Linked DNA regions of Oryctolagus cuniculus. The protein of the gene in region 2 interacts with the protein of the main gene of each other region in a pairwise test. Links are inferred from orthologs where the notes say so. Each region holds a gene or a part of one and is shown on either strand. Other genes may lie near its edges.

Region 1 (7,251 bases), on a different chromosome or scaffold from region 2:
TCTCCCTCTCCCTCTTCCCCTCTCTCTCTCTCTCTCTCCTGCCTTTCAAATCAATAAGTAAATTTTTTTTAAACAATGCAACACGGAGGGGCTGGCACCGTGGCTCGCTTGGTTAATCTTCTGCCTGCGGCGCCGGCATCCCATATGGGCACCGGGTTCTAGTCCCGGTTGCTCCCCTTCCAGTCCAGCTCTCCGCTGTGGCCCGGGAGGGCAGTGGAGGATGGCCCAAGTGCTTGGGCCCTTGTACCTGCGTTGGAGACCAGGAGGGGCACCTGGCTCTTGGCTTTGGATCGGTGCAGTGCCAGCCGTAGCGGCCATTTGGGGGGGTGAACCAACAGAAGGAAGACCTTTCTCTCTGTCTCTCACTGTCTAACTATCTGTCAAATAAAAAAAAAAAAATGCACCACGGTCCCGGCACTGTGGCACAGTGAGCTAGGCTGCCCCCTGCAACGCCAGCATCCTGTAGCAGAGCAATGACCAGAGCCCAGCTGCTCAGCTTCCCATCCAGCCTCTGCTGATGTCCCTGGAGGGAAGAAGCGGGCAGCCCAAGTGCTCAGGCCTCTGCCACCCGTGGGCAGGGCCCAGATGCAGCTTCAAGCTCCTGGCTTCCGCCTGGACCAGCTCTGGCTGTTGCAACCATTTGGGAAGTGAACCAGTAGATTGAAGTGCACGCTCTCCCTCCCCCTCTCTCTTGCTCTCACTCTCGCTCTATCTGGCTCTCTCTGCCTTTCAAATAAAAAATCATCTTAAAAAATGCAACACAATAGAAATAAGAAATAGATGAGGAGAGAAAGGAGCTAAAATTAAAATTAAACCCCCAGCAATAGTAGCTTCAGACAACGAGGTTGGTTGTGTGTACGCATATGTTTAGTTGCTGACCTAGGCTGTGTACTTCTGTAGGTGTTTGCAAAATACAGTTCCAGGACCCTTTCAGGGACATCTGACCTGTTACATAGCTCACAGCGTCCATGAGATGGACACAGATGACTCAAAGAACGTGTGATTGTTCCTCAGACTTGATGAGGGTCTCCCACAGAAGACTTTTCTAATGTCATGAACAGTATCCCCTAGGGAAAGCTCCCACTTCAGACCACGGCTTTGCACCCATGCAGCTCTGCAGGCCCAGGACAGTACAGTTTATCATGTTTTTCCTTGCTACAAAGCTCAGAATAAAGTTACCTTAGTCCCCAGAGTTAGCATATGGCTTCCTCCTTTCGGTTTCCTATTTTCATGTGTATTTTGCTAGCTCTTGCCATTTTCCTATAAGTCACCTTGGGTCCTTTCTTTTTTTAAAAAAAAAAAACATGAATCAGTTCATTACCAGCCCCTACTCTCCCACCTGTAAGGTTTCTATTTCATTGAATGATTGTCCTGGGGAACCAGTACCAGACAGTCTCTCCCAACTCACCGTCCCCCACTAAATTGTCAGCTGTCCCCCCTCCCCGCTTAGTAGCAGCCCCTACATTAGGCAGATGTCTCATGCAGTATTGTTGAGCTGCAGTGAATGAATGGGAGGCAGTGACCACTCTCCCTTCCTGCCCCAGGCCTACCTCCTCATTGAAGAAGACATCCGAGACCTTGCTGCCAGTGACGACTACAGGTAACCCCAGCATGTCTCCTGCCCCGTTCCCACCCCACTGCCTCCGGGCAGCCCCTGATTGGAGGCTGGGCCTGCCTGCTTCAACTTCCCTCCCAACATGTTCTAGAGGATGCCTGGACCTGAAGCTGGAGGAGCTAAAATCCTTTGTCCTGCCCTCCTGGATGGTCGAGAAGATGCGAAAGTACATGGAGACACTACGGACAGAGAATGAGCATCGCGCCGCCGAAGCCCCCCCGCAGACCTGAGGCCAGGGCCCCTGGCTCGCCAAGGCCCTCTCCCCCTGTGGCTGAGGCCGTCGCTGGGACTGCTCCTGGTTGGACCTCAGCAGCATTAAGCTGTGCCTGGGCTCGTTTGCAGTGGCTCACTGCAGAGCACCCCAGCCTGGCATGTGGTTCTGTATTTGTAAAGTTATTAGGATAAGAAGCAATAAAGTTTTTAATCAACACTGATGGTGAACCCGCTGTGCAGTCTGCCGTGTGGGGCCAACAGAACACCAAGTGGGAAAGAGAACAGGGGCTCCTCGCCGTCCCAGCATAGACCGGCCTTCACAGGCCGAGCTGGGAACAGCACGTGTCTTGCCATCCTTCCCTGCCCCCGTTTGCCCAGCTAAGGTAAAGACGGGGCAGGATGTGAGTGCTAGTCCCGTGGGGGTTCGTGATGCGCCGACACACTGTATGAAAAGGTGTTGGCTCTGTTACTCGGTGGAGAGGCGTGGTAAGCCACGGTGTAGCAGCGCTGCGAGTCAGTCGCCACCTAGGATGCCCACGGCCCTCCGGTGGGGGGAGCGCCTGGGGGTCCTCGCTCCTCCGCCTGGCCGCGGCCCCTGTGGAGTGGAGCACCTGGAGCGCTTGGCCGTGGCACCTGCGGGTCCGGCTCCTCCGCCTGGCCGCGGCCCCTGTGGAGTGGAGCGCCTGCGGGTCCCGGCTCCTCCGCTTGCCGCGGCCCCTATGGAGTGGAGCACCTGGAGCGCTTGGCCGTGGCGCTTGGGGGTCCCGGCTCCTCCGCCTGGCCGCGGCCCCTGTGGAGTGGAGCACCTGGAGCGCTTGGCCATGGCGCCTGGGGGTCCTCGCTCCTCCGCCTGCCGCGGCCCCTGTGGAGTGGAGCGCCTGCGGGTCCCAGCGTCCTGGCACGCACGTGGCAGCGGCCGACGGCTCACATGCCGGGACCCCGGCCACCTGCGTGGGAGACCCCAGTGGAGGTCCTGGGTCCGGCTTCTTCCTGGCCCAGCCCCGGCCGGGCCGGGCCGGGCATCTGGGGCGTGAACCAGAGAGTGAGAACTCCGTCTCTCCTCCTCTGGGAATCGGGAGTCTGCAGTTGGCGGCCCTCCGAGACCCGCCCCGCTGAGGGGCCCGGGCCCCCGGGTCAGGGCGTGGAGCTGAGGCTTCCGGCTCGGGGCGGACGGCCGACACGCCCTGCCGGCCAGAAGGGATCGGGAGGGGCGTGCCGGGCGTTCGCCCTCGGGGGCTCCGTCCCACGTGGGCACTTGCTCGGCCCTTTAATGGTCGGCGTTTTCCAAAGGTCACCAATCCGCTGCGGAGTCGTTAGTTAATGGCAGCCTCTCCTGCCAGTCGGACGTTAGAAACAGCCGCCCCCACCGCCCAATGCCGGTACGCTTGTGGGTGGGCCTAGCAATGACAGAGCGCTTCGCCGCGCCCTATTGGCTGGATCAAACCCAAGCGAGCCTCTGATTGGTCGACGCTGCTCGAGGGTTACAATTCAAACGCGGGCGGGCGGGCCTGCAGCCTGCAGTTGCAGCCGTGTTCTCCTAGTTCCTGCTTCTCTGGCGAGTGCTGCCCGAATGGCCTCTCAAAATCGCGATCCAGCCGCCGCCAGCGTTGCCGCCGCCCGTAAAGGCGCCGAGCCGAGCGGGGGCGCCGCGCGGGGCCCCGTGGGCAAGAGGTGAGTGGTGCGGAGATGACGCTCGGCGGCCCCGGCATGCCCGGGGCATCGGGGCCCGGAGCGCGGACTCCGAGGACCCCCTTCCTCAGCGGGTGGATTTGCGGGGGCCACAGGACGCGCCAGGAACTCGAGGCCGGGCAGCCACGGGCTCTGGGGCCCCGGGTGGAGACTTCCGAGATCCCCCGCCTCCTGCAGCGGGTGAGACCTGGAGCTCGGGCAGCTGTCGGAGACTAACGACCGGGGAAGGGCGAGGGGAGCGTGGGGACCGGGCGGACAGCGGTCGGCGTGGAGCACCTGCCAGACTCATGCTGCGGGAGCCTGGGCTTGGGGAGCGTGAGGACTCGCCAGGGTCACCCTGGGCAGGTGGCCGGGTCTGGCCTTGGGGCTCCCGCGGGAGATAGGGAGGGAGGGGTGCATCACCTGGGCCCCGCCCGCCCGAACTCCCCGCTGACCCTGAATGCTCTTTTTCTAGGCTACAGCAGGAGCTAATGACGCTCATGGTGAGTGCCCGTGCCCAGACCCCCAGCCAGCTGGCCCCCTCCTCACTCCCACCCAACTGTCCATGGCCTGCCCCCTCCACCAGAGCCCCACTTGACACGGGGGCGAAGGCGAGGGTGTCTGTGTTTTCCGGGAAGAAGTCCCTGTCCCCACCTCGCCTTGTCTTCCGGGATTCTGTCCGACGCCGATCCTGGAGTCACCCAGCCCCTGCCCGTGGCGTCCTGGCCCTGCCGAACCTTGGAGTGCGCCTTTCTGTTTCTCTCCAACCCTTGAGCACCCACATTGCCTGTCTGGACTCCTGAGGGGCACCGGACATGGCTGCATAACCCCTCCCCGCCCAGCCTCCCCACCCTCTCTGCGGCAGCCCCGAGGCCACCTGGGGAAAGCCCGTCCCTAGGGAGTGTGACGGGATTAGGGGAAGGTCTCCGAGCTCTGCAATCCAGCAAGTGTTCTTCCTGCCCAGATGTCTGGTGACAAAGGAATCTCTGCCTTCCCTGAGTCAGACAACCTCTTCAAGTGGATAGGGACCATCCACGGGGCAGCCGGCACCGTGAGTATCGGGGTGCTGGGGGGTGGAGGTGACTCCCCGTGCCAGGGCTGCGTCAAGCCTTCAGCTCGGCAAGACAGTCGCCCGAGCCTTGTTCTGCACCTGTGCAGGCTGGGTGTGAACGGTGCTGCCTGTCTTAGATGGCTGGAGGGCTCGGGCAAAAAGGCAATGAGTGGAATAAGGACTTTGGTCAATGGAGTCAGATCAGAGACTCAGGGCAGGGCAGGCACAGCTGCTCTGTGAGAAGCTGCTGCATGGGACACCGGCATCCCTTCAGTGTCGCTTTGAGCCCCAGCTACTCTGCTTCCAGCCCAGCCTCCTGCTACTTCGTACCTGGGAGACACCAGAGGATGGCCCACGTACTTGGGTGCCTGCCACCCACATGGGAGACCCGGATGGAGTTCCAGGATCCTGTGCTCAGCCTGGCCCAGCCCAGGCTGTTGGGGCCATTTGAGGAGTGAACCAGCAAATGGAAGACAACCCCCACACACTTCAGATAAATAAATCTTTTTTTAATATATATTTGAGAGAGTTACAGAGAGAGCGAGAGAAAGAGAGGTCTTCCATCCGCTGGTTTACTTCCCAATTGGCTGCAACAGCTGGAGCTGCGCCAATCCGAAGCCAGGAGCTTCTTCCAGGTCTTCCATATGGGTGCAGGAGCCCAAAGACTTGGGCCATCTTCCACAGCTTTCCTAGGCCACAGCAGAGGGGTGGATCAAAGTGGAGCAGCCGGGACTCAAACCGGCGCCCATATGGGATGCCGGCACTGCATGTGGCAGCTTTACCTGCTACACCACAGCACCAGCCCCCTCAAATTCAATTTTTTGCATGTTAACCTACTTTTTTTTAAGTTTATTTATTTATTTTTTTTTTTGACAGAGTTAGATGGTAAGAGAGACAAAGGTCTTCCTTTCTGTTGGTTCACCCCCCCAAATGGCTGCTACGGCTGGCGCCCTGTGCCGATCTGAGGCCAGGAGCCAGGTGCTTCCTCCTGGTCTCCGACGTGGGTGCAGGGGCCCAAGCACTTGGGCCATCCTCCACTGCCCTCCCAGGCCACAGCAGAGAGCTGGACTGGCAGAGGAGCAACCGGGACTAGAACCCGGTGCCCATATGGGATGCCGGCGCCGCAGGCAGAGGATCAACCAAGTGAGCCACGGTGCCGGCCCCTATTTATGTATTTGAAAGACAGAGTGACAATCTGCGATTCACTGGTTCTCTCCCCCAATGGCTACAACAAGCCAGAGCTGGGCCAGGTCAAAAGCAGGAGCCCAGAAGTGCACCCCACTCCCACGCGGGCAGCAAGGGCGCGTGGCCAGGAAGCTGGGCTGGAAGCGGGGAGCAGCCGCAGCTTGAAAGGCGCTCTGCTGTGGGGCGCAGGTGTCTCGGGGTGTCCAACCCTGCTGCGCCGCGGCACCTGCCCCGGCCCGACACTGCAATTGGGCCAGAGCCCTGGGGGTGCCAGCGCACAGCTCAGCCCCCGGGGCCACTGACGGCCCACCTGACGAAAGCAGGGACCAGTTGAGTGCTTTGTCTGCTGTGCAGGCCCAGGTGGGCGCTCACGTGGGACCCTTGCCCCCACTCTCAATGCCAGGTATATGAAGACCTGAGGTACAAGCTCTCCCTGGAGTTCCCCAGTGGCTACCCTTACAACGCGCCCACGGTGAAGTTCCTCACGCCCTGCTACCACCCCAACGTGGACACGCAGGGGAACATCTGCCTGGACATCCTCAAGGACAAGTGGTCCGCCCTGTATGACGTCAGGACCATCCTGCTGTCCATCCAGAGCCTGCTGGGAGGTAACGTGTGAGCGCACCCCTTCCGTGCCGCCCGGGAGCCGCCGGTGCTGCCGGGCCGCCGCTGACTGCTCTCTCTCCACCCGCAGAGCCCAACATCGATAGCCCTTTGAACACACATGCCGCCGAGCTCTGGAAAAACCCCACAGGTGGGTCCCAGCCCTGCCCAAGGACGCTGGGTTGGGCAGGTGTGGGGTTAATAGAACCTCCTGCTCGCTGGGGTGAGGGAGCGGATATGGGAAATTAACCCCTCCCAGACTTGGTCTCCTGTGCTGTTCCCCAGTCTCCCTAAAAGCAGGGGGGCGGCCACCAGCCTCCCCTGGCACTCCCCTTAGCGTCCCTGACTGCCCTCTCCCACCCTGATGAAAGGCATCCGTGCCCATCTCTCATCATCCACCTGCCCGTTCTCTTCCAGCTTTTAAGAAGTACCTGCAAGAAACCTACTCAAAGCAGGTCTCCAGCCAAGACCCCTGACCCGGGCTGCCCAGCCTCTCCCTGTGCCGTCGCCTTTCCTGGTTCTGCCTTAGAATCTGTCCTGTCCTTGACCTCTACTGGACTGTGTCTTGAGCTGTGGTGTTATTTTTGTTTGTTTTTTAAATTAAGTCTGTTTGAGTTCTTGTGATATATATTAAATAAACACATTTTGGTTGTTTTTGTAGAAGTTGCTGCCTCGCGGTTACCCTGGGTTGGGGGTGCTCGGGGCAGGCACGGTGGGTGGTCTCACATCTGGGCAATTGGCCTGTTCCCCTCTTCAGCGGTGGAAGCAGGTGACAGGCTGTAAGGCCAAGCAGTGGCTTGTTCCCCTGTGGCCTTGGTTTCTCTGTGAAGGAGCGACTACAAGCCCCAGGAATGCTAGTAGGTACTGGAGCTGCCCCAGCTATGCGTGCTGGAGGGGAGGACCACCCACCCACTTC
Region 2 (7,291 bases):
GCAGGGTGCTGGACTGGAAGTGGAGCAGTTGGCACTTGAACTGGTGCTCGTATGGGATGCTGGAATCACATGCGGCAGCTTAATCCACTGCACCACAAAGCTGCCCCTTCCCCCCATGCACAGAGGGAGGTGTCCGGGACCATGGAGGGCAGGGGCAGTGTGGCTGGCAGGGAGTAGGGGCCCAGCCTTGGAGATACCAAAAACCCAGGGAAGGGCGGAGGCCAGGAGCAGGGGCGTGTGGCTGCCATCTCCCGACATTCGTGGCGTCTGTCTCCCTCACAGACTGCGACCTTTCCAGGGACAGAGAGCAGATATGAGTCTGCACCCCCACACCCAGGGTGAGCGTAGGCATTCAGGGGATGTTCCGGGCTGGGCAACTGTCAACCTCAGTGTCTGCTCAGCTTCTGGGCTCTCTCAGGACTACAGCGCGAGGACAGACACCCAGGCACTGGCGGGATGGGCGGCCGACTTCCCCTGCCCAGGTCAGTGGTTGGCCAGGCTGTGCTCAGCGTCAGAACAGGGCTGAGATCACCACGCGGCCCTGGCCTCTGGAAACCAGGGACAGTCACTTCCGGATGCTGCTTCCTGCTGGTCCCTCCGCCCAAACCACATTCAGCTCACAGGGTGGCGTAGTGAAAGCCCCTTTCCCGCTGGGAGACCTGCAAGCGAATACTGCTGCTGAGCAGAGCCAAGGCTGCGTGGGTGTCAGGCCCGGCTCCTGCTGTCCACAGGCCAATGCCCAGCGGCCACACTGCCTTGGTGCCGGGCCCCAGGCCGCAGTCCCTGAGGCCCTTGTGCCATCAGCTTGACCACGCTCGGAGTCTGTGAGCCCCAGCCCACACAGCAGGCCTGTGCCCATCCCCTCCCCGCTCCCCGGTGTGGAAGGCGCTTCCAGCCAGAATCCTCGGGACACGCCGGGGAGAAAGCATCCCTGGGCCACTCTGCAGAGGCAGACAGAGCCCACGAGGAAGCACTGGGGCGGAGGGTGGCTGTGCAGGTGCTGCGTGTCCTGCGGGGGGATGTCTCAGCATCCACGCGCCCCAGTGTGGGCGGCGGTAGCTTGTCACCTGGCTCTGTGTCCCTGGGTGTGCCTCCGCAGCTCTCGGCAGGTTTGTCAGTGTGTGTGTGCTGGGAGTGGGGGAAGAAGGGGTCCTGCAGAGGAGGGCGAGAAGGGCTGGGTGTGTGAACGAGGGGACTCCTGGACACGGAGGTGGCCAGCCTCAGCCCCGACCCCCTTCACGGGGACACGGATGTGTGCCGACTGCCCCGCTGGGAAAGGTGAGGGTGGAAACGTCTGCGGTCACGGGGAGGTAGTGCTGGCAGTGACAGAAGGGCCGGGCCCTGTGCCAGGTGCTCTGTGGATGTGATGTCTCAGCTCCACCCAACAACCCCACGGGCATCTGCACACCCCGCTTCACAGACGAAGAAACCGCCCACGACCTCCATCCTAGGGTCTCGCATGGTCGGTCCCCACCTGCCTCTGGCCCCGTGTCTCTGTGACCCCTCTCCCGCTGTCAGCCTGTTGACCCTGGCCGTGCCGCTCCTCTGCTCGGAGCCTCCCCTGCCTGCCTGGCTGGCTCACACCTGTCCCTGATGTCCTCTTCCCACGTCACTTCCGGAAGCCCTTCCTGACTTCTGAGTGCCCAGCGCAGGCCTCCCGCATCAGGTGGGCTGGGACTGCCCAGTTAGGAGCCCAGCCACAGCAGTCAGCCGAGGACACTGTGGGCTTGCCGGGGCGCAGCAGGAGTCAAACCACACTGTTTCCGAGGCAGCGATGTCAGGAGCGTGGCGTCCCCTGTGTAGCCCCCTCTGCTCCTCTGACTACCCCCACCCCACCCCACCGGCACAGGAGCATGACTGTGCAGGACACTGCTGTTCTTCTCATCGGCCCCTCGGCCGCCCACTGTCCCTACCTCCCAGGCTTCCTTGGGAAAATGGGCCCCATCCACACATGGCCAGAGCAGAGCACAGGTGACTGGGGTTTGGCCAATCAGCACACTCTTCCCCTAGGCTGGGCCTGTCCAATGGGACATGACCTGGAAACGAGGCTAGATGCCCCACGGGCCGGCATGGAGTTCTGCGACACCAACACCCCATATTGGAGACTGGAGCACTGGCTAGAGCCCCGGCTGCTCCAGTTCTGATGCAGCTCCTGGCTAACACACCGGGAGGCAGCAGATGGCCCAGATACCTGGGCCCCTGCCATCCGCGTTGAGACCTGGATGGAGTACCTGGCTCCTGGCTTCAGCCTGGCCCAGCCCTGGCTGTTGTGGCCATTTGGGGATGAGCCAGCAGATGGAAGAGCTCTCTCTCTCTTTCTCCCTCCCTCCCTGCCTGTAACTCTACCTCTCAAATAAATAAATAACATCTTTAAAAAATAAAATGTCCTCTCTTTAGGCTGACACTGGGGCACAGTGGGTAAAGTAGGAACCAACCAGTGGATGGAAGACCTTTCTCTCCATCTCTCTGTAACTCTACCTCTCAGATCCTTAAAAAATTAAAAAGGGAAAAACTTTTTAAAAATAAATCCCATGTGGCCTTGGTATAGATGAAACCTACCTGGGGTGCAGTCATGTCTTGGGCCTGCAGTCACCCTGCACTGACCCCGACTCACCCAGAACAACTTCCGGTCCCGCAAGCCCCATTCGTGGTGAGTGCCCTCCACAGAAGCACTATTTATTCTCGTCTATATTTCACGGTGCTTCCCCACGCTTAGATAGGTTGTGCTACGCAAACACCACCGTTACAAATGCCCACAGGTGTGTGCAGGGCGCAGCAGGTAAGTTCTCACAATGCCAACACCGCCTCCCAGTGTGATTCGCAGAACGCAGCCCTGTCCTGATGGGACCTGGGACTGTCTGAGTCACTTTCCTCTAGTGGCCACCAGGAGGCGGGACCAAGATTTTTCACTTAAACGTTTCTTTACCAAAGTCTCGAACCACAAGAAAATGTGATTCCACCCTTTCCGTTTTTAAACAAGTGGTCAGTTGTGTCAGATGCAACAGAGAGTTCGAGAGGGCAAGGGTCAAAAGGCTGGATTTGACCAGAAAGGGATAACTGATGACTTCTCCAAGACAGAGCCGCTGCTGTGGGAGCAGCAGCACAGTAATTCAGACAAAAAGTAAGAGAATCAGTCTTTTTAACCAGGGGATAGTGAATTGTCTGCAGCGAATAACCTGACTGGATGGAATATTTTTGAAGTATTTAAAGGATACACAGTGCATTAGTCTCTTCTGATATTTTATTCCTGATTCAAATAGGACCACCAGACAGAGTACAGTGGGTCCCTAGAAAATCATGTGTTTCATGTTCCGGCCTCTGTGTGACCTCTGCTTACACTGAGAGCTGACACAGGGCCTCACGCTGCATGGATTTCATCTCTAGAAAGGCCCCTGGGGCCGGCGCTGTGGTTAAGCCGTGGCCTGCAGTGCTGGCATCCCGTATGGACACTGGTTCAAGTCCCAGCTGCTCCACTTCCGATCCAGCTCCCTGCTGAAGCGTCTGGAAAGCAGAAGATGGCACAAGTGCTTGAGCCCCTGCACCTGCGTGCGAGACCTGGAAGAAGCTCCTGGCTCGGCCTGGTCCAGCTCCGGCCATTGCGGCCACAGGGGGAGTGAGCCAGCAGACAGATCTGTCTCTCCCTCTTTCTCTGGTTCTGCCTTTCGAATAAAACAAATAAATCTGTGTAAAAAAAAAAAAATTCCCCTCAAACACTTCCATATCTCAGTAACAGGAAACCCCGTTTCTCAAGAGTACGGTTGGTTGCCTTATTAATGCTCAGTGCAAATCACGTGAGATAATTTGGCTTTGTTATGCTGCCAGGGAAACCAAACAAATTTAGACTTCAACCCCAACTCAGTTGGTTCATACGATCGCTACCTATCTAACTACTAGATATACATATAAAGGTACCGCACGCACTGTGGAAAGCAGAATCAAAAACTTTTTTTAAAAAGAGATTTACTTAGGTGCCTGAAAGGCGTAACTAGAGAGCGGCGAACCGGAGAGAGATCTCACACGTAACGGCTCCCTTCCCAATGGTGGCCACAGCCAGGGCTGTGCCAGGCCGAGCCGGGAACCGGCAACTCCACCCCCGTGTCCGCCGCGGAGGGCAGGGGCCACCTCCCAGGGACCACGCAGCACGGGGGCAGGAAGCCGGATCGGAAGTGGGGCGGCTCGAGCAGGCGCCCCAGCGCGGGCTGCCGGCCGAGGCTGCATTCGTTAAGCCACAACGCTGGCCCTCCCCCCTCAAAAAAGTGTGAAATCCATGCAAAATAAACGACCTTTGAACTCTGCCGAAACGGTCAACCTGGCACTCCGGGACTCCTGACGACCGGGTTCCCTCCCGCTCTCCCCGTCTTCCCATCCGCCGGGCCTGGTGCAGGGCAAACTCGCCCGAATGTCCCAGCTCCACACCGTGGCTCCGCCTGCAGGGCCTTCATTCCTCCACGGAAACAGTCACCGCCGGAGTCTCCACCACAAAGCCGCTTCTTCCTCGCCGCTCTTACCTCCAGCCCTCGCCGCCCTGGCGTCGCAGGGCGGGGCTCGACACTCGACTACGCGAGGAATGGCGTTCCAGTCAGAGTGCTGCCGACTCGCGGACTCCACAGAAGGGCCCGCTGCCTCCTTCCACTCTGTCGCAGCCCGAAACGCCGGAGCCGCGGGACAGAGCCACTGCGGAGGGCAGACGCCGGACCAGCAAACTACCAGCGAGCGCCGGAAGTGTGCGAGAAGACCGGCCGCCGGAAGTCAGCGGCAGCTCCGAGGCCGGACGCTCTAGAATCCCGGAGGACCCAGGTCTCTATGGTTGGACGTGCCTGCTCGCCCTTTCCCGCGAACGATGCTTTCCCAGAGCTCCCAGAACCGAGAAAATGGGGACCCGTTAAGGAAGAGGGGCCCAAGGAGGGGTATTGCGGGAGCCAGTCTCCAAGGTAACAACCCCAGGCCTCTCAGCTCGCCCCGAGTGCCCGGCTGTTCCCCACAATCGCGGGACGAGCCGTGATTGACCGCAGGAGCCGATGGATGGGGACGCGCGCGGGCCGACGTGCAGGGGCGTTGCCTCCTATTCTCGCGGCGCCCGGGGCTGCCGGTGCGCATGCGTGCAGGGGACTGCGCCCGGCGGCCGGCGCACCCCTCCGGAGCGCCGAGCGCCCTCAGGGCGGCGGCTCCCGCCGGCGAGCCGGACCCCGGCGGGCGGAGGTACGGTTTCCTAGGCCGATGCGCCCTGATTGGGCTCAGCAGGTAAAAGGGGTGGGAACCTCCGCAGGGGCCGCTCGCCGATTGGCCGGCGGCGGGAGGGAGCGTGGTCTCGGGAGGCGGGGCGGTGGGGTCCGGGCTGGGCAGCGCGCGGCGCTGAGGAGGTGGCCGCGGGCCTCGGACGGGCGGGAGTGCGGTTCCCGGAGCCCCCTCCTCTAGCCGGGGCCGAGGACGCCGGCGAGCGCTGGGACTTCCAGGATCCCTGAGGAGGCGCCGGTCAGTGAGTGTGGCCCCGAGGAACCCGAGGGCCCCGCCCGCCCTTTCTTCCTGGACTGCGCCGCGCCGCTCCCTCCCCCACCCGCGACCCCGACCCCCACCCGGACCCAGGCCCGGGGCGGCGGCTCCCAGCGTCGGGTGTCTCCAGCGGGCCAGCCGCTCCCATTCGCCAAGTGGCTGGTTTTGGAAACTTGGAAATTTCCCTGGTGCCCCCTCCCCAACCCACAGAAGGGGAAACTGAGACCCCCGGGATGGGGGCTGGGGGTGGGCCCTCTTCATCACCGGCGTCTCCACACAGAGGACCATGGCCGAGCCCCTTAAAGAGGAAGATGGCGAGGATGGCTCTGGGGAGCCCCCCGGGTCGGTGAAGGCTGAACCCGTCCACACCGCCGCCTCGGTCGCCGCCAAGAACCTGGCCCTGCTCAAGGCCCGTTCCTTCGACGTGACCTTCGACGTGGGCGACGAGTACGAGATCATCGAGACGATCGGCAACGGGGCCTACGGGGTGGTGTCATCCGCCCGCCGCCGCCTCACCGGTGCGTCTCCTGGGTCACTGTCCTTGTCAGATTCGGAGTGAGAAACCCTGCCTTAGCCAGCCGGGCTGTGAGGTGTGGTTCCGATCCAGAGATCTCTAGGTGCCCAGGCTCCCAGTGAGGCAGGACTCCTTGCAACTCTGGCCTAGCCGTTTTTTGTTTGGTTTTGTTTTGCCATCCCACCAGGCTGCTGGGCTCTGGGGCCAGAGCCTGGCACCAGGGAGTGGTGGCGGGATGGGCTAGGTCTGGGAGGCTCTCTTGCTAACTGGCTGTGCAGCTTCTCACAGATGACCGCGCCGGGTTCCCTCGTCTGTAACGTTGAGCCGGTAGTACCTACCTCATAGGGTAGCAGCAGTGTGGTTGAAGTGCTTAGTTAGCACCAGGCTCGGTAGCCTGTAGGTGCCCAGTGTGTGGGAGCTGTAGTTGTTTGCATCCTGGAAGTGGCTGCTCTAAGAGACCCTGTGGTGACAGCCTTTGCCCTGCCCCCCAGGCCAGCAGGTAGCCATCAAGAAGATCCCTAATGCTTTCGACGTGGTGACCAATGCCAAACGGACCCTCAGGGAGCTGAAGATCCTCAAACACTTCAAACACGACAACATCATTGCCATCAAGGATATCCTGAGGCCCACGGTGCCCTATGGCGAGTTCAAATCCGTGTAAGCAGCGTGATGGGAGAGGGAGGCACAGTTAGGACTTGTAGCAAGGGCTGGGGCTCCTATCGCTGAAGCTAGGAAAGGCAGCTGGGAAAATTTCCATAATCGCAAGGCCAGTGCTGCCTTAGGGCGTTGCCAGGGCCAGCTGTTACTCCTCAGGAAGAGTAGAGGCCTTACAGTTTCATAGACTCTCAGTGTATAAGCTGGCCAATGTAGAACGTTGATGCTGCTATTGCACCCTCCTACTCCCACAGCAGACATCACTAATTGATCACAGAACCCTTCTCTAGAGAAAACGGGTATGCCTTCACAGTTTTCATCATAGTCCTTCGAGCAGCCCAACAGCAGAGTTAGCCACCAAACTGAACCTTTCGGCCAGCCCTGGTGCAGGCCAGCCCCATCTTGTATGTGGTAAGGAAACTAGGTCTGGAAAGAATCTGGAATTCAGTGCTGTGCCGTCAGGGTCCCAGGGCAAGGCCAGGAGGGCACTGTGAGGATGGTTCTTAGCCCTGGAATACGGAGCCCAGGCCTCTCCCCTGTCCCCCTTCCAGCTACGTGGTCCTAGACCTGATGGAGAGCGACCTGCACCAGATCATCCACTCTTCGCAGCCGCTCACGCTGGAGCACGTGCGC

The links.
Region 1: the proteins of MAPK7 (region 2) and UBE2C interact in binary tests that used the Homo sapiens proteins (3 or more experiments, as listed by UniProt). The two-hybrid records come from large-scale screens. The link is inferred for Oryctolagus cuniculus from reciprocal best matches to the Homo sapiens genes MAPK7 and UBE2C.

Annotation. Positions count from the first base shown.
Region 1 is NC_091442.1:13,575,638-13,582,888, reverse strand, and holds UBE2C (ubiquitin-conjugating enzyme E2 C), read left to right. Parts: upstream 1-3,317; 5' UTR 3,318-3,398; coding exon 3,399-3,499; intron 3,500-3,971; coding exon 3,972-3,999; intron 4,000-4,460; coding exon 4,461-4,547; intron 4,548-6,135; coding exon 6,136-6,340; intron 6,341-6,426; coding exon 6,427-6,486; intron 6,487-6,752; coding exon 6,753-6,811; 3' UTR 6,812-6,998; downstream 6,999-7,251. Other genes in the region: DNTTIP1 (deoxynucleotidyltransferase terminal-interacting protein 1), read left to right, coding at 1,545-1,600, 1,707-1,845. UniProt on the Homo sapiens protein: Accepts ubiquitin from the E1 complex and catalyzes its covalent attachment to other proteins. In vitro catalyzes 'Lys-11'- and 'Lys-48'-linked polyubiquitination.
Region 2 is NC_091448.1:61,504,669-61,511,959, forward strand, and holds the start of MAPK7 (mitogen-activated protein kinase 7), read left to right. Parts: upstream 1-3,496; 5' UTR 3,497-5,022; coding exon 5,023-5,241; intron 5,242-5,310; exon of another isoform or gene 5,311-5,472; intron 5,473-5,770; coding exon 5,771-6,008; intron 6,009-6,495; coding exon 6,496-6,661; intron 6,662-7,209; coding exon 7,210-7,291. UniProt on the Homo sapiens protein: Plays a role in various cellular processes such as proliferation, differentiation and cell survival. The upstream activator of MAPK7 is the MAPK kinase MAP2K5.